Linked DNA regions of Pelodiscus sinensis. The protein of the gene in region 4 purifies or fractionates together with the protein of the main gene of each other region. This does not show direct contact. Links are inferred from orthologs where the notes say so. Each region holds a gene or a part of one and is shown on either strand. Other genes may lie near its edges.

Evidence for each region.
Region 1: the proteins of FBL (region 4) and NOP58 purify together in Homo sapiens (affinity purification with mass spectrometry; 7 studies listed by BioGRID and IntAct, counting the BioPlex papers as one, with this or other methods). This does not show direct contact. The link is inferred for Pelodiscus sinensis from reciprocal best matches to the Homo sapiens genes FBL and NOP58.
Region 2: the proteins of FBL (region 4) and NOLC1 fractionate together in Homo sapiens (co-fractionation; 3 studies listed by BioGRID, with this or other methods). This does not show direct contact. The link is inferred for Pelodiscus sinensis from reciprocal best matches to the Homo sapiens genes FBL and NOLC1.
Region 3: the proteins of FBL (region 4) and C1QBP purify together in Homo sapiens (affinity purification with mass spectrometry; 4 studies listed by BioGRID and IntAct, counting the BioPlex papers as one, with this or other methods). This does not show direct contact. The link is inferred for Pelodiscus sinensis from reciprocal best matches to the Homo sapiens genes FBL and C1QBP.

What each region holds. Positions count from the first base shown.
Region 1 is NC_134717.1:56,310,787-56,318,558, reverse strand, and holds the start of NOP58 (nucleolar protein 58), read left to right. Parts: upstream 1-4,767; 5' UTR 4,768-4,925; coding exon 4,926-4,970; intron 4,971-7,360; coding exon 7,361-7,437; intron 7,438-7,772. UniProt on the Homo sapiens protein: Required for the biogenesis of box C/D snoRNAs such as U3, U8 and U14 snoRNAs. Part of the small subunit (SSU) processome, first precursor of the small eukaryotic ribosomal subunit.
Region 2 is NC_134718.1:2,408,411-2,416,238, reverse strand, and holds the start of NOLC1 (nucleolar and coiled-body phosphoprotein 1), read right to left. Parts: upstream 3,003-7,828; 5' UTR 2,952-3,002; coding exon 2,841-2,951; intron 1,574-2,840; coding exon 1,518-1,573; intron 1-1,517. UniProt on the Homo sapiens protein: Nucleolar protein that acts as a regulator of RNA polymerase I by connecting RNA polymerase I with enzymes responsible for ribosomal processing and modification.
Region 3 is NC_134731.1:25,932,203-25,939,834, reverse strand, and holds the start of C1QBP (complement component 1 Q subcomponent-binding protein, mitochondrial), read right to left. Parts: upstream 3,015-7,632; coding exon 2,780-3,014; intron 1,725-2,779; coding exon 1,574-1,724; intron 1-1,573. Other genes in the region: uncharacterized protein LOC102447468, read left to right, coding at 3,142-3,242, 3,559-5,197.
Region 4 is NC_134734.1:4,829,722-4,837,147, forward strand, and holds the start of FBL (rRNA 2'-O-methyltransferase fibrillarin), read right to left. Parts: upstream 3,008-7,426; 5' UTR 2,942-3,007; coding exon 2,932-2,941; intron 1,790-2,931; coding exon 1,715-1,789; intron 1,290-1,714; coding exon 1,113-1,289; intron 775-1,112; coding exon 680-774; intron 450-679; coding exon 279-449; intron 86-278; coding exon 1-85.

The DNA.
Region 1 (7,772 bases), on a different chromosome or scaffold from region 4:
GCTATAAAGGAAAACTGGTAAAGTGAGGAGCCAGTGCCAAAGTCTTTTCACATGCAACTTTCCATTGAAATTTATGATAGTAGTATAAGGGTCCTATCATCAATCTAACTGCAGGCCTTGCCCACCCACTGGTCCAGTTCCCTAGGGAATTAATTTTGGGGTCAAGATGGACACATGACCAGAAGCAAAGAGTGTCATGTAAACCCTCTAATAACTCTTCCCAGCACCCTCTACCAATCAGGATGGGTTTTGGCTTCACAGGACCACTCCGAGTGTAGGTTTGACCAAACCAGAGTCCTTCTGGGGCCTGGTGATCTGTCTTGGAAGTGGGTCATAATGAGCCTCTAAAAACTCCTCCCACTGGTTTCTACCAACTGTGATGAGTTTTGGCCACAGGGACCATCCTGAGAGTGGATTTGACTGAACAGGGTAGGTTTTGGGGTTGGGTGTCCCACCCTGAAAAGGGTCATGTGACCTCTCTAAGAGCTTCCCCAACCACCCCTTACCAATCAGAGCACAGCACCACTCCCAGAAACCCCAGCACCACATGGAAGAGGCCATCTTATCCCAAGAATGAGTGTTTCAGAAATCTTGGAAATCCTTTGAGGAAACAGGGACTCCTTCACCACCCCCTTGTGAACTTTGGACAGTTTTAGCCCTGAGCATTACATCAGTGACTGTTCCAAGGAGGAACTGTTCTGAGGAGAACCCTTTGGCTCAGCTGTTGCTGGATATGTTGGGACCAACCCCGATACCCAAGTGCTCATGGGACAGCCCAATGAGCATGATGGCTTCTCATCCAACCCTATGGAAGAAGGTGTCCCCAATGAACAAAGTCACACAGATAAATGACTGATGAAGAAATGATGGTTGATGATGGAGTATAATAGGGTTAGGAACCAAATCATGACTGTTTAAATCTAGCGTGGGAGCTCATGCTGCTTCCTTTCTGAAAATCTCTTGACAGCTCGATGATGCCTTTCTAAAGTCCTTTGAGAACCTACACATTGGTAGCTCTGTGGGAGTAAATCTGTCATGCATCAGCTGTTTTTGTTTGTGTCTGAGACACACATCTTGAGAGGAAAATCCAGAAAAGAACAAAATGGACGAATAAACTAGCTCAGGTTCTCTAATGGTTATCGTGTTCATTTTCACAGGCTGCTATAAAAGGATGTGTTAAACCAGGCAATTAATAACATTTGTTTAAATTTATCTGTCTGAATGCATCCCCTCCATACGTGTAATATCTTTTGCTAACACACTAACAGTCATGTCTATGTAGACGATTCTGTTAAAGAAAATTTCTTACACTCCCCAGAGAAGTTAGGAGCTTCAGCGAGGTAAACCCTCTGTTTCAAGCAGCCAAAAAGCATAATTATTTGAATAGAAGACAGGTAACAGCTTGGCTTTCAGATCAGGACTCTTACGCATTACACAAACCAGCTCAAATACATTTTAAAAGAAATAAAATCTTTTTTTTTCAGATGTGGATGTGCAATGGCAGCAGATTTGATGGACATGTACTGGTTCTCCAAACACAACAGCAGTTTTAAGTACATCTTAACAGCGATAAACATTCTATCCAAATATGCCTGGGCCTGTAGACATAAAAGACAAGATGGGTGGTGAGGTATCCAAGGCCTTTAACCTATTTTCAGAGAAGGTCTGAAAATTACAAATTGATTGGAGAAAAGAAATTTTAAACAAACTTTTAAGCACATTGTTAAAATGGTATGGCATTCACTATTTTGTTAGTAATAAACAGAGATTTAGCATTAAATAAAAATTTCACAAAACTTAATTCTACCATATTTCTCACCCATACCTATGCATCTATTTAACATATAAAAATCTAATAAAACAACAAACCAATAAACAAAATATATTTACTGGACTTTGTCCAACCATCAATTGTTGCTGCTAGTGAATTTTTCTTTTGAGCTTGTTTATTCTCTGGTCTATAGATCTCTCAAGTTTTGATTGTACTGTGGAGCAGACAACGTTATTATAAAACAATGAAATAGTCTCATAAGCTTAAAAATAAAATGCTCATTAGGATGTTTTTTCATTTAAAAAGTCATAGCTTTAAACAAAACAATCAATTTCAGGCTGTAAAAAATATACCAGTTTTGCTTTATTTTTAACACTCGTGTTTCTCCAAAACTCAATATTATATATTTTCAGAGTTAAATACAAGCCACATATCTCACATCACAGTCCAGCAGCAATTCAATTCAGGATCATTTCTACTGAAAGAGGATTGTCTCCAAAAACCTGAGTTTTTTATACCATCCTCTTTGTTTCAAACAAACTTTAAAATCTGTATTTAACAGGTTAGCTAAATCATCACAACTCTGAATTAATAGATAATTTAAGGAATTTAGGCATCCTTCTCCAAACCTCCCTCTTCTGTGATTGGGGTTGGGAGTGGAGAAATTAAGTTGTCTGCACAACTGGGCTGCTTTAGGCTATTTTATTTTATTAGTTACAATACTTTTTTTCTGTTTAAATTAAAAAACAAAGCACTGAGGGCCTTCTAACAATATTAAACAATAATTCACCATACACAATCATCCTTAATGTTACAGTAACCTCTCTAGAGTGGGGGAGCCTTTGAAGATATCAATGTATATCTTGAGGGGTGGTAGGTTTTTTCATGCTTAAAGTTTTGGGTTGTTTTGAAAAAAAATGGAAGTATCATAAGCATGTTTTCATAAAGGTCAGTATGATGTCTCTTGTTTGTTGCACCATAAAAGAACCAGATTTGTTAGGAATATTTATCAGGTTCTTTCTGATGCTGGAACAAGCCAGGGTTATCTCTGGGACTAATCCTTTTGTGAGTATTCTGATCAAATGCTTATGAATGTTTGTTACTGTTTGCGTCTAGTAACTGCTTATTCTTTAGGTTTTTAGACATGTTTATAGAACTCCATTGGACAGTTTCTATATAATCCCAGGAGTTGGTAGAACTCTATTAGGCAGTTTAAATAAACCCATAGGAGTTGGTTGAATACCATGGGTCACTGTAGTAATACAAACTCATTAAAAGTTTAAAAAATAATTACAAAAAATAAACAAAGGTATAGCCCAAAACTGAAATATTTCAAGGATTCACAATTCTCCACAATACTTTACATTTTCTGTAAAAACATTTAAAAGCCAGATGTGCTTTTGCGCAAGAGAGCATCCACACTGCATAGGTACTCTTGCACAAGAAAGCTTTGATGGCCATTCACAGAATGGCCAGCAGAACACCTGTGCTTTTTCCAATAGGGGTTTCTTGCATCAAAACACCTCTAGAGCACCCACACTTGCCTGTTTGTGCAAGAGCCGTAGTGCAAAAAGGAGTTATTCCTCATGGGGAGAGGAATAACTACCAGCAAAAGCCCTCTGTTCTGTCAATTTTCTTGCACAAAAACGTGCTTGAGGTGTGGATGCTCTGCCAGTTTTTGCGCAAAAACCTTATAGTGTAGACATAGCCTGAGTGGATGTTTTCAGAGCTATCCACAATGACTCCAAGATCTTTCTCTTGAGCAGTTGTAGCCAAATTAGTCCCCATCATACTGTATATACAGTTGGGATTATTTTTTCCAATGTACATTACTTTACATTTATCCACATTAAATTTCATTCGCCATTTTGTTGCCCAATCACTTAGTTTTGTGAGATCTTTTTGAAGCTCTTTACGATCTGCTTTGGTCTTAACTATCTTGAGAAGTTTGGTATAATCTGCATATTTTGCCACCTCACTGTTTATCCCTTTCTCTAGATCATTTATAAATAAGTTGAATAGGATGGGTCCTAGGACAGACCCTTGGGGGACCCCACTAGTTACCTCTCTCCACTCGGAAAACTTACCATTTATTCCTACGCCTTGTTTCCTGTCTTTTAACCAGTTATCAATCCAAGAAAGGACCTTCCCTCTTATCCCATGACTATTTACTTTACTTAAGAGCCTTTGGTGAGAGACCTTGTCGAAGGCTTTCTAGAAATCTATGTAGACTGTATCCACTGGATCCTCCTTGTCCACGTTTGTTGACCCCCCTCAAAGAACTGTAGTAGAGTAGTATGGCATAGTTTCCCTTTACAGAAACCATGTTGGCTTTCCCCCAACAAATTATGTTCATCTACGTGTCTGACAATTTTATTCTTTACGATAGTTAGAAACGGTCTGCCCCTAATTTGCAATGCAATCGGTTCTGGAGCTCGCGTCGCAAGTCGGGGCCGTCGTAACTCGAGTCTGCATTTCTGACAGACATCGTTCCACTGTAAATGCGGGGACAGGGATGTAAGTCGGGGGGGGGGGTTCGGCCCCTTCAGCACTTATGGAAAAGGCCGTAAGTGCGGGGGCTCGGAACTCAGGCCGTCACAAAGCGGGGGCCTCTTCTAGTTGAACCCATCTCAACCCCTTTAGAATGAACACGCTCTCCGCAGCCCCGGTGCTTTCTGGAGCTTGAACCAGGTGGGTCCCTCTCTTCTGGACTGTCTCGAACGCGCCCAAGCCCAGCGGCGGGCGGGAAGTAACACGGGGGGGATCGCTCCCTGCTCGCCACCCTCAGACAGGACCCGCCGTCCCTGCGCCGCCAGCCACAATGGGCGGGGTCAGGAGCTGTAGCCCCGCCTCGCAGCGGTTGAGCCCGCCCCCTTCCTCCCAGCTTGGTCCGGGCCATCCTTTGAGCTAATCCCACTCTTCTCCCTCCCCCCCGCTCCGGCTCTTTCTGTCTCGTCATCCTCTGAGTTCCGCCCCCTGGGCTGCCGAGGCCAGCTTCCTGTCTCCTCACTTCCGGTTGGCTGCCGTGCGCGCGCTGCTTGCTTGCGGCGGGGCGGTCGAGGCCTGGATCCCTCACGTGGCGTCGCCTGGCGCGCGCGCGGGCCGTTGGCGCTGCGGCCGCTCTCGCTGACCCGGGCCCCCTCCCTCACCCGCCATGCTGGTGCTTTTCGAGACCGCGGCGGGCTACGCCGTCTTCAAGGTGAGGCAGGCGGCAGGGGCGCGGGGCGGCCCGTAGCCTTCTGCAGCAGGAGCGCCGGGTGCTGCCCCGGGCCTCGACCACGTGCCTGAGGCGAGAGCCCCGGGTCTGTCGCAGCTGGGCCTGGCGCCGGTACCGAGTAGAGGCGCGAGGTCCGTGGGAGGCGGTGGCTGGGCTGGGGCGCAGGTTAACGCAGGAAAGGGAGGCTCTGCCCTCGCTGCCTGCTCGGCCCCCCCGGGGGTCTCCCTCGCCGGGCTACTTGCAAGGCAGGTTTTTCTGCGTTTGATCCGACAAGGTCAGCCCCTGCTGCCTAGGGCAGTGGCCGGGTAGAAAACCGGACCTGGGCAGTCGTGCAGCGTGTAGCACAGGGATACATCGCTTCCTCGCGGATCCTGCATAGATCGGCTTCTCTCCGAGCCTGAGCTTTGATTCATTCCGCAGGATAAAGTGTAATTGTAAATGTCAGTGACCACGTGTCTGCAGCTGCAGCTTTTCCCTGTGATCTCTTGTGGTACCAACAACTCACTTCCTGTTTGCATCCGGGAAGAGCAAGCTGGTCTTGCATTTGTTAATTTTAGCCACCAGTTTTGGAATGAAACAGATCCGTTAAGAATTATCCCCTTGTGATAACTATTAGCAGAAATTGTGGCGTTTATACAACTAACTAATGTTCTATTATTGCCTTCCAAATATGTTCACATTGCATCTGTTTCTTCTGGGACTTTTAGCGTTTATTGCAAGTAATATTATTCCTTTAGTCCCTAAATGAAAGCATTGAGGCTAACTTAATAGTAATGGTATTTTAAATACTTCATTTACAAGATGTGTTCAATTTACATTTGTCTGCTAATGTTTATGTAAAATGCTTAGCTTGACTGGTGTACATTGAAAAGCAAAGATTCCATTCCAGAAACTTTAACTGGACACACAATCTTATAGGGATGTAAGTGACTAGTCAACTATCTGATAAGCAAAAGCTTATCAGAGGACACACGGAGGACTGGTCACTTCCCCCCTCTCCCTTACTGCCTCTATCAGAAAGAGGCAGCAAGGCGGGGGGAGAGCAAGGGATCCTGGAGGGACTGGCTTTCTTGTTCTTCCAGCTCTGGGAGGGAGAAGGAGCCCAGTGGCGGTGTTCCAACTTCGAAATGTACAAGAGTTTCCACTGCGGTGGAGGTTCCCCACTCCCGGTTTACCATATATGATAAAAATTTAATGGGGGAGAAGAGCAGATTTCACAGTCCATGACATGTTCTTCATAGTCATGAATTTGGTAGGGCCCTACTTTTTTTTATATAAGCATAGATGGGTTCAGGAATTCTCAAACTTCATTGCACTGCAAACCTTTTCTGACAGACTATATGTAAGGGCTGAGGATGGGAGGAGGTGGCGGATGTAGTGTAGACCAAGTCTTAGTGCACTGCTTATTAAGAGCTCACAGAAATATGGTAGACTAGTGAAACTGTGGATTAATCTTTTGGGAGGCAGAGGTGGATTTCTTTTGTTGATAGCAATCTGAAATATTAGTCTGTTAGCCAAGGGTGGTGTCTTTAAAATTTACTCTGAAGGCTGTGTAGGTCTGAATGCATTGTACTGCAAAGAGAGTAAGTCCTGAGCAGCAGGTGGGAGCTGGTCTGTGCAGGGAGTTGATTTTTTAAACCAGCTTATGTTGCTGCCTCTGGTACAAAGGCTAGTCACCATGTAACTCAGGGTTTCCCAACATATGGGTCGGGACCCAAATATGGGTCGCCATTACATTTCAAAAGGGTTGCCAGGTGTCTTCCCCAGGTGGCTCTGCCTTCCCTCCTCCCTGTTTTTGAATTGCCTTAGGTCACCAAGTATTCCTGAATTGTCAAAATGGGTCCCCATCTGGAAAAGATTGGGAAACACTAATGTAACTGAAAACATTTTTTTTGTAGTTAACATTTATTTTAGCAATCATGTATCTACCATCTCTAGATCCAGTGTTCCCTCTAACTTTTTTCTGTCCACCTGCAGAATAAATATTATGTGCCCCTAGGCATATGCAGATGTGCATCAACAGTAGAAACATGCTGCTGGCTGTGAGTGCTCTGCTAATCAGCTGGGCTGCATTTGACTCTCTCCTGGGTGGCTGCCATGTGCTCAGCTTACAGGGAACATTGATCTGGCCCCTCCACACTCACTGACAGTGGTGCAGGAAGCAGAGCTGCGTGGCCCTGGCTCACTCTGCTCCCCAACAGTGAATGTGGAAGCAATCCCAGAGCACCAGTTCCTCTGCTCCCCTCCTGCTAGTGTCTCTAAGCTCCGAAGGTCAGCTACTTAACATGTGTCCATTCCTCCCCCCTTCTCCCCCCCCCTCCACACACCTGCTCCAAACGTCTTTAAACATTGGTTTCATTTTTTATCCACAGGTTCTGGATGAAAAGAAACTCCAGGAAGTTGATACTTTGTGGAGAGAATTTGAAACTCCTGAAAAAGCAAATAAAATGTAAGTCTTTCCATGAAGAGCTAACAGCCTGGGTATGAAAGATAACTGTGTTTAATTGTGTACATAGGAGATGAAGGACTAAGGCTTTGTGTTTCAGTATAGTTCACAGCTTTTACATGTTAAAAGAATGATCTGACCCAAGATCTCTGGGTGCTAGAGATCAGAGTGAAACCTAATATGGATGTGTGTAGCTGTGGCAGAGTATCTGTTCATGGCAGGGTTCTTACACCTTCCTCTGAAGTGTGACACTTGATACTGTGGGCCAGAGTACTAGCCTAAATGGACTTTGGTCTAATCCAGTTATGCTATTCCTGTGTTCTTAAAAAGATGTTGGT
Region 2 (7,828 bases), on a different chromosome or scaffold from region 4:
ATGTCTCAGGTAAGTCCTAGCTAAAGCTGAAGACAAGGGTCTAACTACCTGTAGCTTCTTAACGGCCACAATTAGATTAGCTGGGAGCGTGGGTCATTTTACAATCTCTCAAAAACAACTAGTTTTGCGAGGATTGTGTAAAGTGCATATCTACTACACAGTAACCCCGGATAAGGTTTTCCCCTCTGTTTAGAATAGCTTATTTTTACTGTTTCTCTAATCCCTTTAAGGTTTCCTGGACTAACTAGCTCCTTTTCCCTACTCTCTAGCCTCTTATCCTGAGAAGACCAGCTACCCTTTCAACAGCTGCTTTGTTGCCAAGAAGCCAACTTGAATGCACATTCTTTTACGAAAATTAAGGATGTGTCTTCATTGCCCAGTTAGCATGGATTCTCACCTGGGTGTGAGCACTTCTACCTACACAGAAAAACCCGGGTTTGGAGGTTCTTTAAGCCCAGAGTTGCTTGTCCAGCTGGGGAAAACTGTCCAGCGAAGTCATACCATAAGTATGGAATATCAAAAAACTCACATATTAGCCTTTCACTTAAAATAAGGTTAAAAGGGGTTAAAGGGCCGTAGGCTGCTGCTCCTGAAATGGCAGCCTGGAACTTTGTGACGAGAAGGCCGATTAGAAGTGCTTTGCAAATATTTTCTAAAAAACAGTCCTTCCTTATTATGGACAGGTACTGCCTGGAACACAGTACCAGCTCCTCCAGTCAGAACTCAACAACTTCTCCCCTGGAGTACCAGCACCCCCCCCCTTTTTAACCAAAAAAAAGCACTGGATGGACCTAACCTCCATGAATCTATCTAGCTCTTTTCTGAACCCTGTTAAAGTTCTAGCCTTTACCACATCCGCTGGCAAGGAGTTGACTGTGTGCTGGGTGAAGAAAAACTTTTGTTTTAAACCTACTACCTATTAATTTCATTTGGTGACCATTAGTTCTTATACTGTGGGAATAAGTAAATAACTTTTCCTTATTCACTTTTTCTACACCAGTCATGATTTTATAAACCTCTATCATATCCCCCCTTGATCTCCTCTTTTCTAAGATGGAAAGTCCAAATCTTTTTAATCTCTCTTCATAGGGGACCCCTTTTGTTACCCTTTTCTGAACCTTTTCCAATGCCAATATATCTTTTTTGAGATGAGGTGATCACATCTGTACGCAGTAATCAAGATGTGGGCGTACCCTGGTTTTAAATAAAGGCAATAAGATATTCTTGGTCTTATTCTCTATCCTTTTTTAATGATTCCTAACATTGTTTGCTTTTTTGACTGTCGCTGCACACTGAGTGGATATTTTCAGAGAACTATCCACAATGACTCCAAGAGCTCTCTCGCGTAGTTGTAGCCAAATTATTCCCCATAATACTGTATGATGGAAGTTTAGTTTTGCTGGAAAACCTTTGCCATTTAATACACCAATCTGAAAAACAAAGCGACCATAGAAATGTCCCAGAGATGGACTGGCTTAGTCCTTCTCAACAAATATTGTAGGAGGAGAGACACTTACTTGAGCCAGTAGTTGAAGACATCCAAGAGAGAAGCAGCATTAGGGTCCTGGTCTGTCTGTAAACCAGAAACACACAGGACTATTAGCACTGACAAACCACATGGACTTCTCGACTTTGGATGGAATGGAAAACCCTGACCCATTGGCAACCACTTCTGAATTCACACCTTCCTGATGTATACCAGGTGGAGAGGTGGGAGACTTAGCAAATGGAGTGTGTTGCTCATAAAAACCTTCAATAGCATCAGAAGCTAGAGTTAAAAGCCTCTGAGTAATCTGAAAAAAGAAACAACCTGAGTTATTTAGGACTCAAAATTCCAGGACCCATAGATTTGTTAACATCTACAACCAAGATTCTGCAGACACTTCAGCCACACGTGTGCTAGGAGACATTGCCTTATTCTTAACTATGCACACTGAGTAGTTTCATTCATGTTAAGGGGACAACTCAGTGTGTCCAGTTAGGTATATGCCAATGCCTTGCAATAATGGAGCCTAATGGGAGGGGGGAAAGATTTACTTAACATCTTGATTAGACAGTAAGTATTCTAGAAGAATTATCACTATCAGTATCTAATTACGAAAAGACAGAAAAAGTGGGCAGATCTGGAGAAAGTTGGGGGGAGGGAAGAGAGGGGAGGGAGGCCCTCCCAATTTTGCGATCATCTGCCACCATTTTCAATGAGGTCTCACGCCTTATGCAGAGACTGTCTCTCCCCGGTGCTAAGGTGACATGCAGCTGCCCGGAGAGGTAGGCAAACACTGTTCTCCCAGGAGCCCCCCCCCCCGGGGACAGCCCCCCCCCTTCCCCCAGGACCCCCCCGGCCCAGCCCCCCCTTCCCCATGACCCCCCCCGGCACAGCCCCCCCCTTCCCCCAGGACCCCCCCCCTTCCCCCAGGACCCCCCCCGGCACAGCCCCCCCCTTCCCCCAGAACCCCCCGGCACAGCTCCCCCTCTCCCAGGACCCCCCCCGGCACAGCCCCCCCCTTCCCCCAGGACCCCCCCCCGGCACAGCCCCCCCTTCCCCCAGGACCCTCCCCGGCACAGCCCCCCCTTCCCCCATGACCCCCCCCCTTCCCCCATGACCCCCCCCCCGGCACAGCCCCCCCCTTCCCCCAGGACCCCCCCCCGGCACAGCCCCCCCCTTCCCCCAGGACCCCCCCCCGGCACAGCCCCCCCCTTCCCCCAGAACCCCCCCGGCACAGCCCCCCCTTCCCAGCCCCTCCCCTCTCCCAGGACCCCCCCCCGGCCCAGCCCCCCCTTCCCCCAGGACACCCCCCCAGCCCCGCCCCCAGGACCCCCCCCCCGGCCCCGCCCCTCACCACGCCGGCCGCCCGGCCGAAGGCGCGCGCCGCGCCCTCGAAGTGGTTGTCGCGCAGGAAGGCGAGGACGAGCGGGAAGAGGTCGCTGGGCACCGCGCGCGCCTCCGCCATGCTTCCACGCCGGCCGCCCCGCACGTGCCGGGGGACGCGCTGCGTCGTGAGGTCACGGGGTCACACGTCACACGTGGCCCCGGAAGGGGGCGGGCCTAGCCGCCATGTTGTTAAAGGGAGGGCCCGCCGCCCGCACAGCCGTAGAGCGCTCGCGCGCCACCTGGCGGCCGGCGGCTGCAGTGCAGCGGGTAGGGAGGGGCGGGGCCAGGTCCTTCGCCAGCCTCCGGGGCAGGTGCCACCTGAGCACGTGGGAGGCCAGCAGCTGGGGCCAGTGGGCCCTGCCCTGGGGGCTGATCCGGGCCTGGGCAGCACTGAGCTGGGGGAGCCGAGTGCGGCTAGAAGAACTAGAGGACACCAAATGAAGTTAATGGGGAGCAGGTTTAAAACTAATAAAAGAAAGTTCTTCACACAGCACATAGTCAACCTGTGGAACTCCTCGCCGGAGGAGGCTGGGAAGGCTAGAACTAGAACAGACAGGGCTGGGTGGAGGCATGGGCGAGCTGGGCAGCTGCCCAGAGCCCCAACCGACGAGGGGCACCTAATGGCAGCTGTAAGGGGCGCATGGTGTCCCTGACAGATGCCATCAGGAGACGTGCGCCCGGCTCCTGCAGCACCTGCCCCTCAGTGCCGGCCAGCAGTGCCCTTCCCCCGACGGCTGTGGGGCCCTGCACGGCCCGGCATGTGTGCCAGCAGCGCTGGCCGGGCTGGGCTGGGTAGCGCATGCTCCGCGTGCCCCGGCAGCGGGCCTCAGGCTTTGCGCCAGTGGCCATGGCTAGCGCGCGTGTATGCCATGTGCCCCATGGGCAGGCCCGTGCCCCATGGGTGGGCCTGCGCATGCGCCCTGTGCCTGGGGGCAGCACTGCACGCCCGGGCCCAGGGCGCCAAAAGGGCTCGAGCCAGCCCTGATAATAGAGTTTAAAGAGAAGCTAGATAATTTCATGGAGGTTAGGTCCATAAAAGGCTATTAGCCAGGGGATAAAATGGTGTCCCTGGCCTCTGTTTGTCAGAGGCTGGAGAGGGATGGCAGGAGACAAATCGCTTGATCATTGTCTTCGGTCCACCCTCTCTGGGGTACCTGGTGCTGGCCACTGTCGGCAGACAGGCTACTGGGTTGGATGGACCTTTGGTCTGACCCAGTCCGGCCGTTCTCCTGTTCTTATGAGTTTATGCGCCGACAAAGTGGGGCTCTTATGTAAACTGTAACCAAGCCTGGGACTCTCCCGGGGAAGGAGGCATTGCACCCGCTCTTACCAAGGGGAGAACTGAGTCAGAGAGGTCCAGGCCAAGATTTCGAGCAGTGATGGCAGATTTTGGGCGCCCCTCTTGAGACCTCAAAGAGGCCGGCTCCTCAGGAAGGGCTGGGCAGCTGCTCCCTGAACCAGCCCCATCCAGGCAGGCTGCTGATGGGGCAGCCCCAGGTGCTCGTCACTCAGGACGAAGGGAACGTGGCCGGGTTGCGGTACTGGGGGCTGTCCGGGCTCGAGACGGGAGCATTTTATTTCTGCCTCCTGGGGAAGTGTTGCCCTTTGCCCAAATGGCTGCCACCTCCCATCTAGGGGCCAGCCTCAGCGAGATGGCTCCCGCTGGCGTGCGTGGGCAAAGCGCCCCAGCCGGAACTGCAAGGAGGAGGAAGACCAGCCCTTGGGCCTGGCCACGGAGAGGCCACCACGCTGCTGTCCTCTCAAGCAGCCAAAGTCCCTCGCCTCTGAGTGCAGCCCCGCTCATGCTATGGCTGTGTAGTGCCGAAGCCCGGCCAGGCAGGGCAGACGGGGCCCTCGCTGCTGCTCTGTACTTCCCCTGGAGAGCAGCTTCCCAGCAGTGACTAACCGTGAATGAAGCGCAAGGCGGGTGTGATACACACAACACTCACCCCACAAACGCCTAGTCACTGCCCTTCTCTCACTCTTGTCCCCGGCTCGGCGAGTGTTTTCTTCTCTCGTGCCTCACGGGCTCTGCTCAGCCGCGGCCTGGCTTTGCTTCTTGCTCTGGTTCTGTCAGCTGCAGGGGGAGCCAGGCTCTCAAAGCAGGGCCTGTCCTGCTCCCAGCTCCGCCTTGGGAGACACAGATCTCGGAACCAAGCCAAGCGATGGAGCATTTTATGCCAACCCTCTGAACTAGTCCCATTGTCCCAGTCTCCTTGCATCTGTTTCTCTGCACTGAGCTGGAGTGGGCCTGCTAAGGTTGCTAAGGGAAGGACTTTCTGGTGGTGCCACACCAGGTCCAGGGGGTTCCCTGCTTTTCTCTTGTCCCCAGGAGATGTGGCACCTGCAGCCACTTTGACCTCAGCAGCCCAGTTGTGGTTTGGGTCTGTTCTGAAAATTGAGAGCGGGGGTAAAATCCACTTTCCCTGGTCTTAGAACTAGCCAGGCTGAGCAGGAGCTGGGAAAGACTCAGAGCCGCATGGGGTGACATCTGTAAGCTTTCTAGGGGTATTCCTTAGTCCCAGCAAAGATCCGTATGTTTTGCCTCCTGCCCTCTTATGACAGCTGCTTGACATTAGCTCCAGCTTGCTCTGCTGCTGTGGTAAGTCATGCGCGGGTGTCTAACATGCACCTGTTAAAATCAGCACTCAGACAGGGCCTGTACACTGCAGAGTGACGCTTGGTCACGTCCTTCATAAGCCAGGGCCCTACCAAAGTCATGGTCCATGTTGGTCAATTTCATAACCCTGGGCTTTTTAAAAATGGTACAGTTCATGAGTCCGGCTACTTCAGTCTGACATTGCAGGTTGTCACTGTTGGGGTCCTGACCCACAAAGGTGTTTGGGGGCAGTCGCAAGGCCATTGTGTGTGGGGGGAGGAGAGAGGTTGTGGTATTGCTACTCTTGCTTCTGTGCTGCTGCTGCTGGAGGTGACAGACATTGGCAGAGCTCAGAGCACCCAGGTAGGTATACAAAGTCCCTGTGACAGAGTGGGACCAGCTTCTTAGTGGCTTGAGTGTGAACCAAAGCCTGCAGTTTTGGTGAAGGCTCAAATCTAGATGTCAGATTTTAGGGATGTTATGAGACAGGCCAATACTTTGATCCGTAACTAACACCGATTCTTCCCTCTCTCCTCCATCAGACACTCTTTTGTGATGTCACAGATTCCTCGCAGTTTCCCCTGTGGAGAGGAACGCTGTTGGGTATGAATCCTAGAACACTAGAACTGAAAGGGATCTAGTGAAGTCATCAAGTCCAGTCCTCTGCCCCCACAGCAGGGCCCAGCACTGCCTAGACCATCCCTGACAGGTGTCTATCCAACCTGCTCTGAAATATCTGCAATGTTGGAGATTCCACAACCCCCATCAGTGATTTATTCCCGTGTTTAATCCCCCGGACAGGCAGGAAGTTTTCCCTAATGTCCAACCTAAACCTCCCTTGCTGCAGTTTAAGCCCATTGTTGCTTGTTCTGTCCTCAGAGGCCAAGGAGAACAATTCCCCCCCCTTCTCCTTGTGACACCCTTTTAGATCCCTGAAAATGGCTCTCATGTCCCCTCTCAGTCTTCTCTTTTCCTAACAAAACAAGCCCAATTCCTTCAGCCTTGCCTCATAGCTCATGTTTTCTAGGCCTTTCATCATTTTTGTTGCTCGTCTCTGGCCCTTCTCCAATTTCTTCACATCTTTCTTGAAATGTGGGGCCCAGAACTGGATCCGACACTCTAGCTGAGTACAAAGGCTCTGATTGGCTCGCTAGCAAGGCAGGAAGTGCTCGAACAGGACTCCCCTGACAATCTGCAACGGAGAAGGCTGCTTGGGGTAGGGAGATGGGGGCTGTTACTGCGTGCCTGGGACTGAGGAGGACGGGACTGGTCAGTTCTTGACTCAGGACCTTGGACAGAGCCAGCGTCCGTCTCCAGATCTCATCCCTTTCCATAAAACCAAACCGCTAGACACCCTTTCGTGCGGGGGTTCCTCTCTGAAGATGCCTGTCAGTGGAACCTGGTGAATCGGGCTCTGCTGATGGAACCGGTGACGTGCGCCTCTGGGCTAGCTGGAGGCAGGGAGTCACTTCAGAATGGGGCGAAGGGAGTGCGAAAGGGAACTGCTGGTGAATGCAAGAGGTTCGGACGATGGCATTGGCCGGCTGAATTTGCTCTTGAACTCAGAAATCCTGCTCTGACGCACCCTGGCGGGAAAGGAGCAGTAATGCTCCGTGGTGGCCTCCGAGCCACCCTGCTCCCAGAGGGAAGAGTAGGAACATGTAGTGTAAGGTGCCTCCTCTCTGAAAGCAGGGTGCACCCACCTCTGCCGGAATAGCAGGTCCCTAGGGTGATTCCTGCCCCAGCTACTATGGAAGCTGGTCCCATTGTGTCGAAATCGAGAGCAGGGCTCTGCTTTTCTGCACCCGGTGGGGGTGACGGTGGCTGGGAAGGGTCACAAAGGCCTCCTACAATCTACTGGAGCAGCAGAAGGCTGTATATAAGGTATTTTGCACCCATCCTAGCCCATTATGAAACCAGTCCCACCTCACCCACCTTCACTGATTTAAATCTTGCAAAATTAATTATGCAATGGTCAGACACCCTAAAAGGACCAGACACTCACCAATAGAGAAGTAGAGACCATAAAAGCAAAATACTAGAGTTTTTGCCCCCACCATTGTTGGTAAGTGATGCCTTGCCAGACTGAATGCCATCAAACAAATTGTTCTTTCTACATCTAAAGAGATTCCTTGCTTATCTACATGTGCTGTTGAGGGGAGCAGCCGGATGTTACCTTGTTTTAATATAATTTAGAAGGAGTGCGAGGATGTGGTTTTCTGCTCCTTTGGGCTCATGCCTGCTGCTCCCCTAGAATGGCTGCAGAAAAGGGCCTCAGACCTCACAGCTTTGCCTGCGTATTGTTTGACAACCTCCGTGCGAGGACTAGGGTGTGAGAATAAACACAGATGGACTAT
Region 3 (7,632 bases), on a different chromosome or scaffold from region 4:
GAAGTACAGTATGCACTTCACTGAATTTCCAAGCACTTTGCATGGTGTGCTACTCTCAAAGATAAACTGTACTAAGTTTAAAACACATAAATTCCTTGTATTTATGAACGAATGTATTCTTAGTTTACTAGGTTAAATTCATGTTTCCTGTTTCCCCCCAAGGTAAAATGGCCATGAATCCTTAGAAGACAAAGGCAAGATACAATGGCAAAGTATACCCCATTGTGCTACAGCAGTGGTCTCCAACCTTTTTACACCCAAGATCACTTTTTAAAATCTCAGAACAGGCAAAGATCTACCACCCCGCCCCTTCCTTGAAAGCCCGCCCTCTCTATTCTCCTCCTGTCCATCACTTGCTATCCCCAGCCCTTACTTACACACTCTGATAAACAGTTTATTTTTAAATTATGCGATACATACAATTAAAATCACATGTTTATAGTTATGAAATAAATGGTCTGTTTTTTATTCATGCTATTTAAATCTAAAATGAAGCATTTATAATTATACATTTTTGTGGGGACAGAGTTCTGTGGCTGGGGGCAGGGGAAAGGGAACAAGGTGCTGGGAGGGCAGAAGACAGGTTTCTGCAGCTGGGGACAGGGTGCCAGTGGGGACAGAGTTCGGGGAGTGGGGACAGCGTTCTGTGGCTGGGGCCAGGTGAGTGGGGACAGCGTTCTGTGGCTGGGGAGTGGAGACAGAGAGTCCCCTGCATCTCCCTCCTCCCAGGATTCTACCCCCCACCCCCAGGGAAACCAGTGTGTGCCTGCCCCGGCGCCAACCCCCCCTCCCCCCCCCCCGCCCAGGAAAGCCCCGCGTGCACGCCTGCCCCGGTGCCGATTCCCCCGCCCCCGCGCAGGGAAGCCCCACGCGTGCCTGCCCCGGCGCCGACCGCTCCCCCCCCCCCCCCCGCGCAGGGAAGCCCCGCGCGGGCACACCTTGCCCAGGGGGACAACCCCCCGGCGCAGGGAAACCCTGTGCGCGCTTGCCCCGGCGCCAACCCCCCCGCCCAGGGAAGCCCCGCGCGCACACCTGCCCGGGGGCCAACCCCCTGCGCGCTTCCCGTGGGGCTGACTCACCTCTCCTGTGCAGTGCAGGGAGCCAATGCTCCCTCCCACAGAACACCCGGCAGAGCAGCTAGTGCACTTCTGGAATCGCCGGAAGTGGCGCTAAGCTGCAGGACTTCTGTCCATTCCCGGGAAGCCGACACTACCTCCATTTTCACTTGAGGTAAGTAGTGGGGCTTCTCGGGGGTGGGAGGGAAATGGGGGCAGGGCAGACAGGACGCCTCGCGAGCGACTGGTTGAGGCCTCGCGAGCGACCAGTAGATTGCGATCGACCTGTTGGTGACCACAGTGCTACAGTATAGAAAAATAAATTGACTACAAAGCTTCTGTTATCTGTACTGGCCCTGAATGACAGCAGAGCTGACAATGAGAAACAGCACTAAGTTAATAGCTTTTCATTAACCTCAATCCTGGACAAAACATGCTGGCTGCAATTTTTACCAAGTCCTTTATGTTCACTGAAAAGATCAAATATCAATTAAGCAAAAAACCCATCTCACACTTACCTCTCACCAGCTATTTTCCGCACCAGTTTAGCCTCGGTGCCATGCACTTCTAGCTCCCACCCTCCAGACATCTTGGGCAGGGATTTATGTTTCTGGATCTTCTTCTCCTCTTTAATTTCATCTGTCAGAAACTGTGCAAATGCTTTGTCCCCTTCAAGGAATAAAAAAGACAAAGACATTAATACACCTGAGTTAGAAACATTGTTCCCTAGTGGTTAGATGAGAAAGTAAAGTTAAGCCTCAAGATTCTATTTCTAGTTGAGCTACGTACTTGACCAAATAGCTTGTGTGTACCTCAGCTTATCTGGGTATAAAATGGTGAGGTAAGACCACAGACTTTATACTGATATTAGAAGGCCTACTTGTTCATAAAGTGTTTGTTCATGTTCAGCTGAAAAGCACTATACTGTTGAGGGCAAAGAATTATGTTGATTACAGAGAGAGGACATGTAAGAGCCCTTGATTTGCCAAAGGTTCTGAAGTTCTGGATGAAGGCTTAGGTAAGGAGTGATTACTAAAAGACATTATTAAAAAGCTCTTCTTTCAATATATGCAAGTACTGTTACAGGTACAATATAGGAGGGAAACAGCACCTAACTTATGAATGAAGTGAGCACAAGAAGTTGGATGGCATCAACCCCTCTCAAGTTATGCAGATCCACGCTGCTCTGCAGTCTTCTTCAGAAGCCCAGATCTCAGGCTTCAGGATTTGCATTTAAGGTGATGCTTTTACTGGTTCATCAGGTGACCAGTTAACCTTTCACATCCCTCGTTAAGAGGGGTGGAGGAGTGCAGCGATGCACATAATAGAAAGGTTGAGAAACTTGCCCAAGGCCGCCCATTTTGTCAATGGCAAAATTAGGAGCAGAAACTGCCTCAGCCCCAACTCCCCCTGCTGTGCTAGCCAGACCTCTCCCATGGCAGGAGCCAGGAGACGATGGAGACACAGCAGGCTCTCCCCGCAGCTGCCCGAGCGCAGCATCCCGCCCCCGGGGGGGAATCACCAAGCGCTGAGCGGAGCCGGTCACGGCCAGGGAAGCCGCCGCGAGTCCAGGCCGAGGAGCCAGACGCCGAGCGCGGCTCAGGCGCAGCGCGCACGTCTGGGCCCCTCGCGGGTGACCCGCCGGCCCCAGCCCCGCGCCTCGGAAACCCGCTCTGCGTCCAGGGCTCCCTGCCCCCGCCCTGCCTCCTTCCACCCCCCATTACCCTCGGTGTGGAGGCCGCCGCAGCCGCAGGACAGGCCGGCGGGGGAGGCCCGCGGGGGCCGCAGGAGGCCGGGCCGCTGCGTCCCGGCGGGGTCGGCGCTGAGCAGCCAGAGGCTGCGGGTGAAGGGGCGGGCGGTGGCGGGCCGCAGCAGCGCGGAGGGCAGGAGGCGCGGGGGCCGCTGGGGCAGCGGGCGGAGGGCAGCGGCGGCGGCGCGGAGGGCCCGGGCCAGCAGCATCCTTGGCGGGAGAGCGAGGCCGAGTGAGGCGCGGGGCACGTGCGGGAGCAGAGGACACGGGGCGGCCCCTGGCCCGGAAGCGGAAGCTGTCGCCCGGAAGTGCACGCGGTCGCCCGGAAGTGGTTCGATGAGGGGGCTTCTGCCTCTTCAGGTCTCGGGCAGCGGCAGCCGCGGGCCGCCCTTGAGCCGTACAAGGAGTCGCGTCCCCGCCTCCACCGAGCTCGCGTGGTAAGGCCCCCCCCCCATTGCCGCTGGCGCCCCCGCTCTAAGGCCGGGCCAGGGGACCCTCTTCCCGCAGGCCGATCTCGGCGCGAAGCAGGCCCCGCCCAGTAACCGTCGCGCGCCCCTCCCGGCCCCGCCCAGTAACCGTCGCGCGCCCCTCTCGGCCCCGCCCAGTAACCGTCGCGCGCCCCTCCCGGCCCCGCCCAGTAACCGTCGCGCGCAAACCGATCGGAGGGGCGGTTCGGAGGCCGCGGGCGGGCGGCAGTTGGCCCGGGGCCTGCCGGCTCGAGACCTAACCGCTGCCTCGATTCGTGCCTTGCAGCCGCGCCGGGGGATTGCAGCCCTGCAACGCGCCCCCCCCCCGCACCGCCGGAGCCGCTGGTCCCTGCGGGATCCATTCGAATTCACTGACCTCGCGCGCTGGGCACCTGCTGTGGAGCCGTGTCCCCGCATCAGGCACCAATCGAAGTTTCCCGGAGGTGACGTGTCCACGTTCAGAGCCGGCCTCGGCCTCGGCGCCCCAGGCGGAACTCTGGGGAGCGGCTCCGTCTGGTGTCGACTTGGGCTTTCAGAGGCTCCTCTCCATTCTTGCATCCCACAAGTGCTCCTCCATTACGCCCCTGTTGTGCAACAGGAAAGGGACACGGTGGGCACCTGTCTTGTTGTGCCCTGGGTTCCCACACTGGCACCACAGCCCTGCAACCATGGAGCCAGAGCAGCTGCAAGGCAGTGCCACGCTCATGGCTTCAATGCTGCGCCTCATGGAGCAGTACTTCGACAATGCCCGCACGTTGCTCCAGCAGGAAGAGGAGGAGGTCCAGCATGGCCCAGAAGCCATGGTTAGCGAAGTGTTGGCACTCCTGCTTCTGTACATGCCTCTGACTCCCCTCGACACAATGGAACATCGCTTCTGGCGGAGGGAGTCAAGCACGGACTGGTGGGATCACATTGTCATGCAGGGATGGGATGATCAGCAGTGGCTGCAAAACTTCCGCATGCGCAAGGCCACCTTCCTCGAACTCTGCGAGTGGCTTGACCCTGCCCTCAGGCACCTGAATACCCGAGTGAGACCTGCCATCCCCGTGCAGAAACGCGTGGCCATTGCCCTCTGGAAGCTAGCTACATCAGACAGCTACCGCTCAGTCGGGAATCAATTCGGGGTGGGGAAATCCAGAGTCAGGGCTGTGCTCCTACAAGTAGCCAAGGCCATCAACCACATCCTGCTACAGAGGTTTGTAACTCTGGGCAACATAGACAACATCTTGGATGGTTTTGCCGACATGGGCTTCCCCAATTGTGGGGGGGTCATAGACGGAACACACATCCCCATTGTGGCTTCTGACGACCATGCCTCAAACTACATCAACCAAAAAGGGTACTGTTCCATGGTGCTGCAGGCACTTGTGGATCACAAGGGACGCTTCACTGACATCAACGTTGGATGGTCGGGAAAGGCGCATAACACACGCATCTTGCAGAGCTCATCCCTCTTCAGTAAGATGCGTGCTGGCACTTTTTTCCCCCATAGGGCAATCAAGGTCGGAGAGTTGGAAATGCCCATTATGATCCTGGGAGATGCAGCCTACCCTTTGCTCCCCTGGCTCATGAAGCCCTACACAGGCCGCCTGGATGCCAGCAAGGAGGAGTTCAATAACAGGCTGAGAAGGTGTAGAATGGTGGTGAAATGTGCATTTGGGCGTTTAAAGGGGAGGTTCAGGAGTCTCCTCACCCGCCTGGACATCAGCGAGCTCAACATGCCCTTCGTGGTGGCGGCATGTTGTGTGCTCCATAACCTGTGTGAAAACAAGGGGGAGACTTTTCTTCCAGCATGGGGGGCTGAGGCAGAACGCCTAGCTCGGGAGTTTGAGCAACCAGACACCAGTGCCACAAGGAGAGCACAGCAAGGGGCATTGTTCATCAGAGACGCCTTGAAAGACAGTTTTATGCAAGACCAGTTGTGAGACTCTCCACCCTGCATTCTGTGTGTGTGTGCGTGTGTGAGAGAGAGAGATCCCCGTCTCTCTGTTTTCCTGCCCTCCTTGGCAGAGCAAACAATAAAGAGATCATTGATTAACAAACAGGAGTCTTTATTCAGTGGACATACAACAGGGAAGGGAATGGAGAAAGAACCTGTAATGGGGGCCAGGGCTGGGACTGGTGTTTGCCTCCAGGTGGCCTAGAGGGCCCCATGCCTTGTGTTTTGGGGTCCCAGCAATCCCTGGAGACCCTTGCAGGGGTGGCCATCGAGCAGGTGGGATGTGGCTGGTGGCCCAATCCATGCATGCTGCTACATGCTCCAGCACTGCTGTGAGGGTAGAGAATATGTTACGCTGGTGTACCAGCTGCTCCCATGTGGCCTCTGTCTCCTGGTCAGCCTGCCGCTCCTCTCAGTAACCTGCTCCAGGTACTCTGCCTTGACTTCCTGCATGAGGGACTGCAGGCAGACCAGCTGCTCCCTCATGAGCATGTCCCATGTTCTTATTCATCTGCAGATCCTGGTCAGGTGGATAGATGCAGCAGGAAGTTAGGGACATGCCCAGCTCACCGCTGTCCTGCTGTGAATTTACAAGGGCAGTCTTCACAGGAAACGCTTTGTATGAAGCCTAGCCCTAATCACTGAGCCAACACTGAAGGTCTCAGTTCAGACAACAGCACTGTGTTTTGAGCAAGGCCATAATTTGCTTCTAAAGCAGGTACTTTCCAGCAGGTGCACAGACATCCCAGGGGAGCATCACAAACACAGAGACTGGAGATAAGTAGGCATGGTAAGGTGCCCACCAGGCCAGGACCATGCCGGGGGGCGGCTCAGCTTCCTACTGTGTCCTGCACATGCTGGGTCTGGCACTCGTGGCATCCTGCGGTGAGAATTTCTATCAATGCCTGCTGGAAGGAGAGGGGAAGTGTGTATGAGTGGCAGAAAGTGCTAATGGGTTCCCCTCCTCTTCTTCCTTCCAGCAGGTTCCTATGCATATCATCAGTCTTCCCTGCATCACTGTGCTTGATTTGGAGCGAATGCTGACTGTGTGCGGGCATGAATCAGGGCAGCGTGCTACACTGCTATGTGGTTCCATGACCCCAGACTGCTTCCTGGTGGCTTAGTGTAGGAAGGTGTCCTACCACAGAGGCTGGAATAAGGCAGGCCTCTATGGGAATCGTGTGAGAAGGATCAAAGGGTTCCTGTGTGACAGCATTGTGGCAATGAGTGCTCCAGCCTGACACGCCATCTACAGACATGTGAACAAGCTGTTCTGCAACCCTCGGAGGCTGTGTCTACACTGGGCCACTAATTCCGGAAAATCAGCCACTTTTCCGGAATAAGCTGTGAGCTGTCTACACTGGCCCTTGAACTTCCGGAAAAGCAACGATGCTCTACTGTACAAAATCAGCCGCTATTCCGGAAAAACTATTCTGCTCCCGCTCGGGCATAAGTCCTTATTCTGAAACACTGTTCCGGAAAAGGGCCAGTGTAGACAGCCCAGTAGTCTTTTCCGGAAAAGCGCATCTACATTGGCCACAGACGCTTTTCCGGAAAAGGGGCTTTTCCAGAAAAGCAGCCTGCCAATGTAGACGCTCCTTCTCCGGAAAAACTGAAAACGGAATAGTATTCCGTTTTAAGCGGTTCTGGAAATTCATGCCAGTGTAGACACAGCCAGAGTGAGTAACAGAGAGGAGCATGCAGCCCTTTGCCTGACCCTCACTTGCAGCTAAAGTTAGAAAACTCACCAGAAGTGCCCTCCCCAGGGTTGTCAGAAGCCTGGGAAACATCCTGGAAGGGGCGGACCGGCTCCAAAGCGAGGAGCAGCTCCTAGCTCTCAGGCATTGTTGCCTTTCTGGCATCCTCCTCCATCACCCTGCCCACCTGCAGGCTGATGCCAGGCATGTCTAGGCCAGACTGGACCACGGCGGTGGAGGTAACCGACTCCCCTCCCAGAATGACATCCAGCTGGTTGTAACAGTGGCAGGTGCTGCCCCAGAACAGCTGCTCTGCTCCCTGGCCTTCTGGTAGGACTGGCACAGCTGTTTGATTTTGAACCTGCACTGCTGCAGGTTCTTGGTGTGGCCTTTGGCCAAGAAGCTGGAGACAATCCTACCATAGATGTTGGCATTTGCCTGCATTGTGCAGAGTTCATGGAGGTTGAACGCCCCCTCCTCCCCCCCCCGCCCTACTCAGTGAGATTCAGGATCTCCTTAGCACTTCAGGCTGGAGCTCTTCTGCATCCCTGGGCAGTGGGGGCCATGGGAGCAGAAGTGCTGGCAACCATCACGATGTCAGCGAGGACAGTGGGGGCACTCATGTCTCCATGTGCTGGTCACTTGCACAGGGCTCACAAAGCTGATCACGTGGGACATGACATCAATTCCAGGATGAGCGCCGCAGGAGGGGAGAGCAGTGGGT
Region 4 (7,426 bases):
GGATGATGTTGGTGCGTTTCTTCGCCACATTGATGAGGTCACGGCCGGAGCGATGGGAGAACTCCACAGCATAGACCAGGCCTTCCTGGGTGGGGTAAAAAACCATGGTCAGCCATCTCCCCCAAGGGCAGAGCAGCTTTTCTTCCCATTCTCCCCTCCCCCCACAATGCAATCAGGCACTGCCTTCTCTCAGCACAGCTGAGTCATACTCACTAGACACTTCGTCCCTGCCCCCACCCCCATCCTCTTCAGACCCAGGCCCAACAGCAGCTCCTTACCGGCCCCACGATGTCGGAGACATGTGAGACTGTGGTTCCAGAAGCAGCTCCCAGGTACAGGACCTTGGCTCCCGGCTTGATGTGGATTTGATCAATGCCACCTAGGATGGCTGCTGCCAGCTTGGAGCGGAAAGGGTTCCAGGCACGGTACTCTATCTTCAGCTCACCGTCCTGCAGAGAGAGCAGCAGGGTCAAAGCTCAGCTCAGCTCCCCCGGGGCTGTTAACTGGCTGCGAGCATGCTCCACTGTGGCAGTCGCCCCAACCCTAATACCCTTCCTGCTGGGGTAGTGTCCCTCTAGAAACATGGGAGCTGCCTTAACAGGCTGGCACCATCCCACCCCTGAGTCCTGGGGCAGCCAGTGCTGCCCAGAATTTCCCCCATTACCACAAGGCCGCCTACCTCCACAGAGATCCTCTTCTCTCCATACACAGACTCGCCGGGCACCAGATTCTTCGTCACCAGCGCATCCTCCTTCCCCCTGCAGATGAAGACGCCTGGGTGGAAGGAGGAAACGGATGGGAAGCTGTCAGAACAGGGACAACCCTCTTCCCAAGTCTAAGGAGAGCAGGGGGAACATTCCCTGCTATGGGAAGGAGTCAATTGCCCTTGCAAATCATAAAGGGATCACAGCAGGGCTGCCAAGCCATGGATCAGCCATGTAACCTCCCATACACAGTGCCTCCAACACTGGATAGCAATCCACCCCAGCTGTGCCCTGATCAATCCAACATCTAGCAGTGAATCCCAGCGCTGTCCAGTCCAGGCAGACCACCTTGGCCACAACACCTCACTGCTCCCAGGAGACAGCACTATTTTGTCCCATGCTGGTTACCTTCATGCCTGTGGGGCTCCACCGTCACCTTCTTGCCTCCTTTAAACCCTCCTCGGCCGCCCCGGCCTCCTCCACCGCGGCCTCCTCGGCCTGGCCCGCCTCGTCCACGGAAACCACCGCCACCTCCTCTTCCTCGGAAGCCTCCATCACTCCCACCCGGAGATTTAAACCCACCACCTACAAGGGAGAGAAGAGATGGAGTAGAAGCACATTGGCCCTGTGCCATTGTCCCCGCCCTGCATGGAAAGCAGAGGGGCAGAGCAGCTGTTCACTTTGGGACAAGATATGAAGGCGGGGATCCAGTGTCCCTGAGATCACGAGGGGAAATAACCCAGGCAGGGGTTGGACCATGGCACACTGATGGAGCTGGGACAGGATGTGCTGTCCACACAGCAACACAGCCCAAAGTCAATGGCCACTGAACTGAGGTGCGGTGGGAGCAAAATTCTCCCAGTATTCACTGGACAGGAAGGTCTCCAACAGTGGGTGTTGCCTGGGACCGAGGGGAGAGGGGGAGGTGCAGCACACAGGTGCTCAGTCGTAACCACAAAGCCCTCCCCTCCCCAACACAGCGATGCCACTGGGGCACAGAGAGCACTTACCTCGGCCTCCTCGGAAGCCCCCTCGGCCTCTTCCACGGTCCCCAAACCCACCGCGCCCTCCACGGGGACTGAAACCTGCAACCAGGAGAGAGTTAGAGACCACACCCCACCATGACCCTCCACCCACACCATAGAGAGAGAGAGCGGCCTGAACCCGAACACCACTCCCCACCATTGCTCTCCCACCATGGATACAGCCCCACCCCATATCCTTCCTGGTCACCCCATCCCCTTGAATTGATTAACTGGTTAAACATAGGTAAACCAATTAAACGGGGGCAGTGGGAGGGCCTGCCACAGGGCTGGACCTAGAGAAGTAAGGGATCAGTCTATTAGTCAACCAGGGAGTTAACTATTCACATTCCGCTGGCTTAAAAGCCGATTCTCCCCAGCACGGTCTCCGCGGAGGTAGGGGCAGGGGCTTCTGCCGGCTGGGCAGGCAGCCCAGCTCAGCCCCAGTTCACCTCACTGTGTCTTTGCAATTGAAAATGCAGTAGGAATTAGGCAACCTGCCCCCAAGCTCCTACCGCCTTTAAACTGCAGAGACACAGCGGGATTTGGTCCCAACCCTGTACAAACCGGGACTGAGCCAGCTGCCTATTGACTAATCGAGTAGTCGATAGAATTTTTATCGACTACTCAACTGGTTAAATACCCGCTTCTTAACATCCCGAGCTAGAGCAGCCCCCACCATCCCCTGCCCGGGAGGCAGGGACTGCTCCAGCCTGGCCTGCGCAGCCCCCCCTGGTTAACCTTAACTGGTTAAACCTTCACCTCCCTTGTCCCCACCCCAGCACGCTGCTAGCCCGCCTCCCACCTGCCTTTCCACGTCCCTCTATCCCCACTGTCTGCACCTTCTCGGGTGCGCCCCAAAACCTCCACCCACCAGCCCCCATCTAACAGTAAAACCCAAACACGCGCCCCCATCCCACTACCCCCCCAGGCTCCTGTGCAGACACGAGCCCCCCGCAGGGGCACAGAGACCCCCCCCCCTTCCCGCACCTGGACACCCCCCTGGGCCACGCGACCCCCCGCAGCCCGGGCCACGTGACTGCTCCCCACTAAGCACCCCCAGCCCCGGACCCCCCCCCGGGGTCACGGCCCCGCACTGACCTTGTCCCCCCCCCCCGGGGTCATGCCCCCCCAACTGACCCGTCCCCCGGGACACGGCCCCCACTGACTGCCCCTCCCCGCACACGTGGGCCAGCCGCGCTCACCCGGCCTCATGCTACTCGCCCAACGCCGCGAGCCGCCTCACTGCGCAGACACCAGCACCCTGGCCACTGCGCACGCGCAACTCTGCTCCGCCAAGAGCCGCCGCTGCGCATGCCCACAATAACCCCGCTTTCCCCATCTCCGCCAGAAGGAGGCACCACGGGAAATGTAGTCTCCGCTGCCAGCACATGCGCACAACAACGGAGCCGCTGCAAAAAGAGAGCGCTGCGCATGCGTGTAGTACTCCCCCGGCCCATCCCTGGCCCCGGTGTTAGGTCCCCTCCCGCACCAGGACTGTTGAGGCCAAGTGAGTCCACATCAACACATGGCTGATGAGGGCTGGGTGCAGCTGCTGGGATGGGGGAGCCCTGCAGCATACTAGCCTGTTAACCTGTGGAACTCCTTGCCACTGTGACCCAAAAAAGGCATGGATGACTTCTTTGGCTATTAGCCAAGAGAGCCAGGGATGTGACGCCCATGCTTTGGGCTTCCCTAAACCTCTGCCTGCCAGAAATAGAGAGGCAGGGGGGCGGGACTGGCAGAAAGTAAAATTTTGTGAAATAACCATTCTGAAATTTTGCATAAAAATAAAATTATTTCCTATAAAACAAAAATGTTGAAATTTTGTGCTGGAAATAATTCCCTTACTCTCAAAAAAATTAAATATTTTCCATGAAAAAATTCTGACATGTCCTGTTGATTTATTTTCTGCAAAACACAGGTTTCAAATATTTGATTGCAAAACATTTTAAAAAGTAAACAAAAATTTATCCTAAAACCAGGGCTACTCAATTTAGGAAGCCCCAGGGTCCACAATGATACTCACAGCACATGCCAAGGGCCGTGACTTAAGTGTGGTTGCATATACATGCACATTTATATGCAAATATATGCAAATAGCTTCTTTCACACTGACCTGCATGAATACAAAGATAAAACCTCAAGCCACCATGGGCCAGTGTGAGCCAGTCAGCACCTGTCAGGCTCTGTCCACAAGGCTAAGCAGCCAGCACTTCCCACAATGCCCCAGCACTCCTGGCACCTCTTCCCTGGGGGCTAGAAATGCCGACACCCTGTACCGGTCTGTTCCAGCCAGCCCGTCTGCCTGCGTCTTTCAATGCTCACCCCGTCTGAGAAATGCTCACCGCTGTGAAGCATAAGTGGTGAGGAGTCCTGTGGCACCTTATAGACTAACCGAAGTGTTGGAGCATAAGCTTTCGTGGGCAAAGACCCACTTCATCAGATGCATGTAGTGGAAATTTCCAGAGGCAGGTATAAATATGCAGGCCAGAATCAGACTAGAGATGACGAGGTGGATTCAATCAGGGAGGATGAGGCCCACTTTCAGTAGCTGATTTGGAGGTGTAAATAGCAAGAGAGGAGAAGCTGCTTTTGTAGTTAGCAAGCCATTCACAGTCTTTGTTTAATTCAGAGTTGATTGTGTCAAACTTGAAGATGAACTGTAGCTCAGCAGTTTCTCTTTGAAGTCTGGTCTTGAAGTTTTTTTGCTGCAGGATGGCTACCTTTAGTTCTGCAATTGTGTGTTCAGGGAGATTGAAGTGTTCCCCTACAGGTTTTTGTATGTTGCCATTCCTAATATCTGATTTTTGTCCATTTATTCTTTTACGTAGGGATTGTCCAGTTTGGCTGATATATATAGCAGAGGGGCATTGTTGGCACATGATGGCATATATTATGTTAGTAGATGAGTAGGAGAATGAACCAGTGACAGTATGGCTGATCTGGTTAGGTCCTGTGATGGTGTTGCTGGTATATATATGTGGGCAGAGTTGGCACCGAGGTTTGTTTTATGGATTGGTTCCTGAGTTAGAGTTATTATGGTGCGGTGTATAGTTGCTGGTGAGAATATGCTTCAGGTTGGCGGGTTGTCTGTGGGCAAGGACTGGCCTGCCTCCCATGGCCTGTGAAAGTGAGGGATCATTGTCCAGGATGGGTTGTAGGTCACTAATGATGGGGTCCAGATGATGAAGATGTCATTGATGTAGCGTAGGTAGAGAAGGGGCGTAAGTGGATGAGAGCTGAGGAAGCGTTGTTCCAGGTCAGCCATAAAAATGTTGGCATATTGTGGGGCCATGCGGGTGCCCATAGCAGTGCCACTGGTCTGGAGGTATATATTGTCACCAAATCTGAAATAGTTCTGTGTGAGGATAAAGTCGCAGAGCTCAGCCACCAGTTGTGCTGTGGCATCATCAGGGATACTGTTCCTGACAGCTTGTATTCCATCTATATGTGAGATGTTTGTATAGAGAGCCTCTACATCCATGGTGGCTAGGATGGTGTTTTCTGGAAGATCACCAATGCATTGTAGATTTCTCAGGAAATCAGTGGTGTTACAGAGATAGCTGGGAGTGCTGGTGGCATAGGATCTGAGTAGATAGTCCACATATCCAGACAGTCCTTCAGTGAGAGTGCCAATGCCCGAGATGAGGGGGGTCCAGGATTTCCAGGTTTGTGGATCTTGGGTAATAGATAGAACAACCCTGGTCGGGGCTCTAAGGGTGTGTCGATTTGTTCCTGTGTTTGTTTAGGGAGTGTCCTGAGCAGATGGTGCAGTTTCTTAGTGTATTCCTTAGTGGGATCTGAGGAAAGTGGTCTGTAGAATTTGGTATTGGAGAGTTGTCTGGCAGCCTCCTTTTGTAAGTCAGGCCTGTTCATGATGACAACAGCACCTCCTTTATCAGCCTCTTTGATTATAATGTCAGAGTTGTTCTGGGGGCTGTTGATGGCATTGCGTTCTGCACGACTGAGGTTACGGGGCAAGCGATGCTGGTTTTCCACAATTTCTGCCTGTGCACGTTGGCAGAAGCATTCTATGTGTAAGTGGGGGAATGGTCCCGCTATTGTGGGGAACTTTCCTGGCTTCTATACACCCCGGTGAAATGGACCAGCGAAAGGATCTGAGTCCCCACTCCCACTTCCTTTACCCCACGGCTTCCCTGATCCTGAGGGCTCCCCCTCCACTCTCCTGAGTAGCAGAGCCCTCGAAACCCCAACAAGGCTGGGCCCAGGTTTCCTGGGGCTTAATCCCCGACCTTGTAGTCACTAGGGGCAGGAGTTAGGGTGTCCCCACTCCGAGGTGCTCTCTTTACACTGCAGGCCTTCTTGGCCCAGCGATCACTTCATAAGGTTCAAAGCAAATACAATTTATTAAACATCAACTGATTAAAGAGAAAATAATAAGAAAAAATGAGAATGGTTAAATGAGAACACACAGCCCTGCTCTGTAGCACAGGGACATCAAAACAGCAGCCTGCAGAGTGTAAGGTCAGTCCACAGTCTCTTCCTTAGAGGCCCCTTAGAGGCCTTGGATGTGCTGCAGGGGGCTGCAGGCTGGACACGCTTGCTCTGGCAGTGACCACACAGCCTCAAGCTCTAAGTGGCCAGACCCCTCTCCCAGTCCAGAGCCTCTCCCCATACTTTGCAGTTCCCAGCTGCTCACCACATCCAGCTGCAGGCTGTGCTGCGTGGCCAGTCTCTAGCTTCTTGCGTTGCTTCTCTGTTCCTTTTGGCTCTCTGAGCACTGCCAGTCTGCTGCTCAACACAGGGTCTGCGCTCCTTGAGCTGTGTGTGTCTGGCTCAGCTGCTGCAAAAACTGCCCCTCAGCACACAGCTTGCTTTGCTTGGGCTGTCTCTCAGCTCCCTGTTTTTGCAGGACTTCTTCTGCACACAGCTTGCCCCCCTTGGGCAGTCTCTCAGCTCTCTGTTTGCTCAGAGAGAGCCAGAACAATCCCAGCTCACAGGGAGGACGGGGCCTGGCCTCTTGCTTTTCTCACTGGCCTGTCCAACTTGTCAATCAGGCTAAGCTGGAGTGTTGGCTGCTTTCCATTGTCTCTGGGGTCTGTCAGTCTCATGGACCCTTCCCCTGTTGACACTGGGAGCTGGCAAACTAAAAAACTCCCACAGAGTATAAGGGGCTAACAGTCCCCTTACATATGTAGTGGTCCAGACTGTCATTTCGACCCACAGGAGGTGTCCATATGGAGTTCTTCTTCTTGTGCTGTTGGTGGGAAGGTATCTGTGTGTCAGTGCACTGTTCAGTGTTGTGTTGGAAGTATTCCTTGAGATGGAGACAGCGAAAGTAGGCTTCCAGATCACCACAGAACTGTATCATGTTGTGAAGCGTGTTCCCAGTGGAGGCCATGTTCCAAGGATCCCACCCACAGGCCGGATGTTGAGCCCCATGTAAACCCAAACTGCACCAGGGGCCACAAATAAACAGGTCACAGGCCACATGTTGAGTAGCCCTGCTAAAAAAAATTCTGAAATTTCACACAAAAGTAAAAAAACAAAATTTCCTATCAAACATTCCAACATTTCCCACAGAAAATAATTATTTAAAAAGATAAAAAATTCCTGTATAACAAAAATTCCAAAATTTTCCAAAGGAGAAAAGCATGCCTCTAATGTAAAATTATCCCATCAAACCAATTTCTGGAATGTTTCATAACATGTTTAAAGTAAACATTTTCCTGTAAA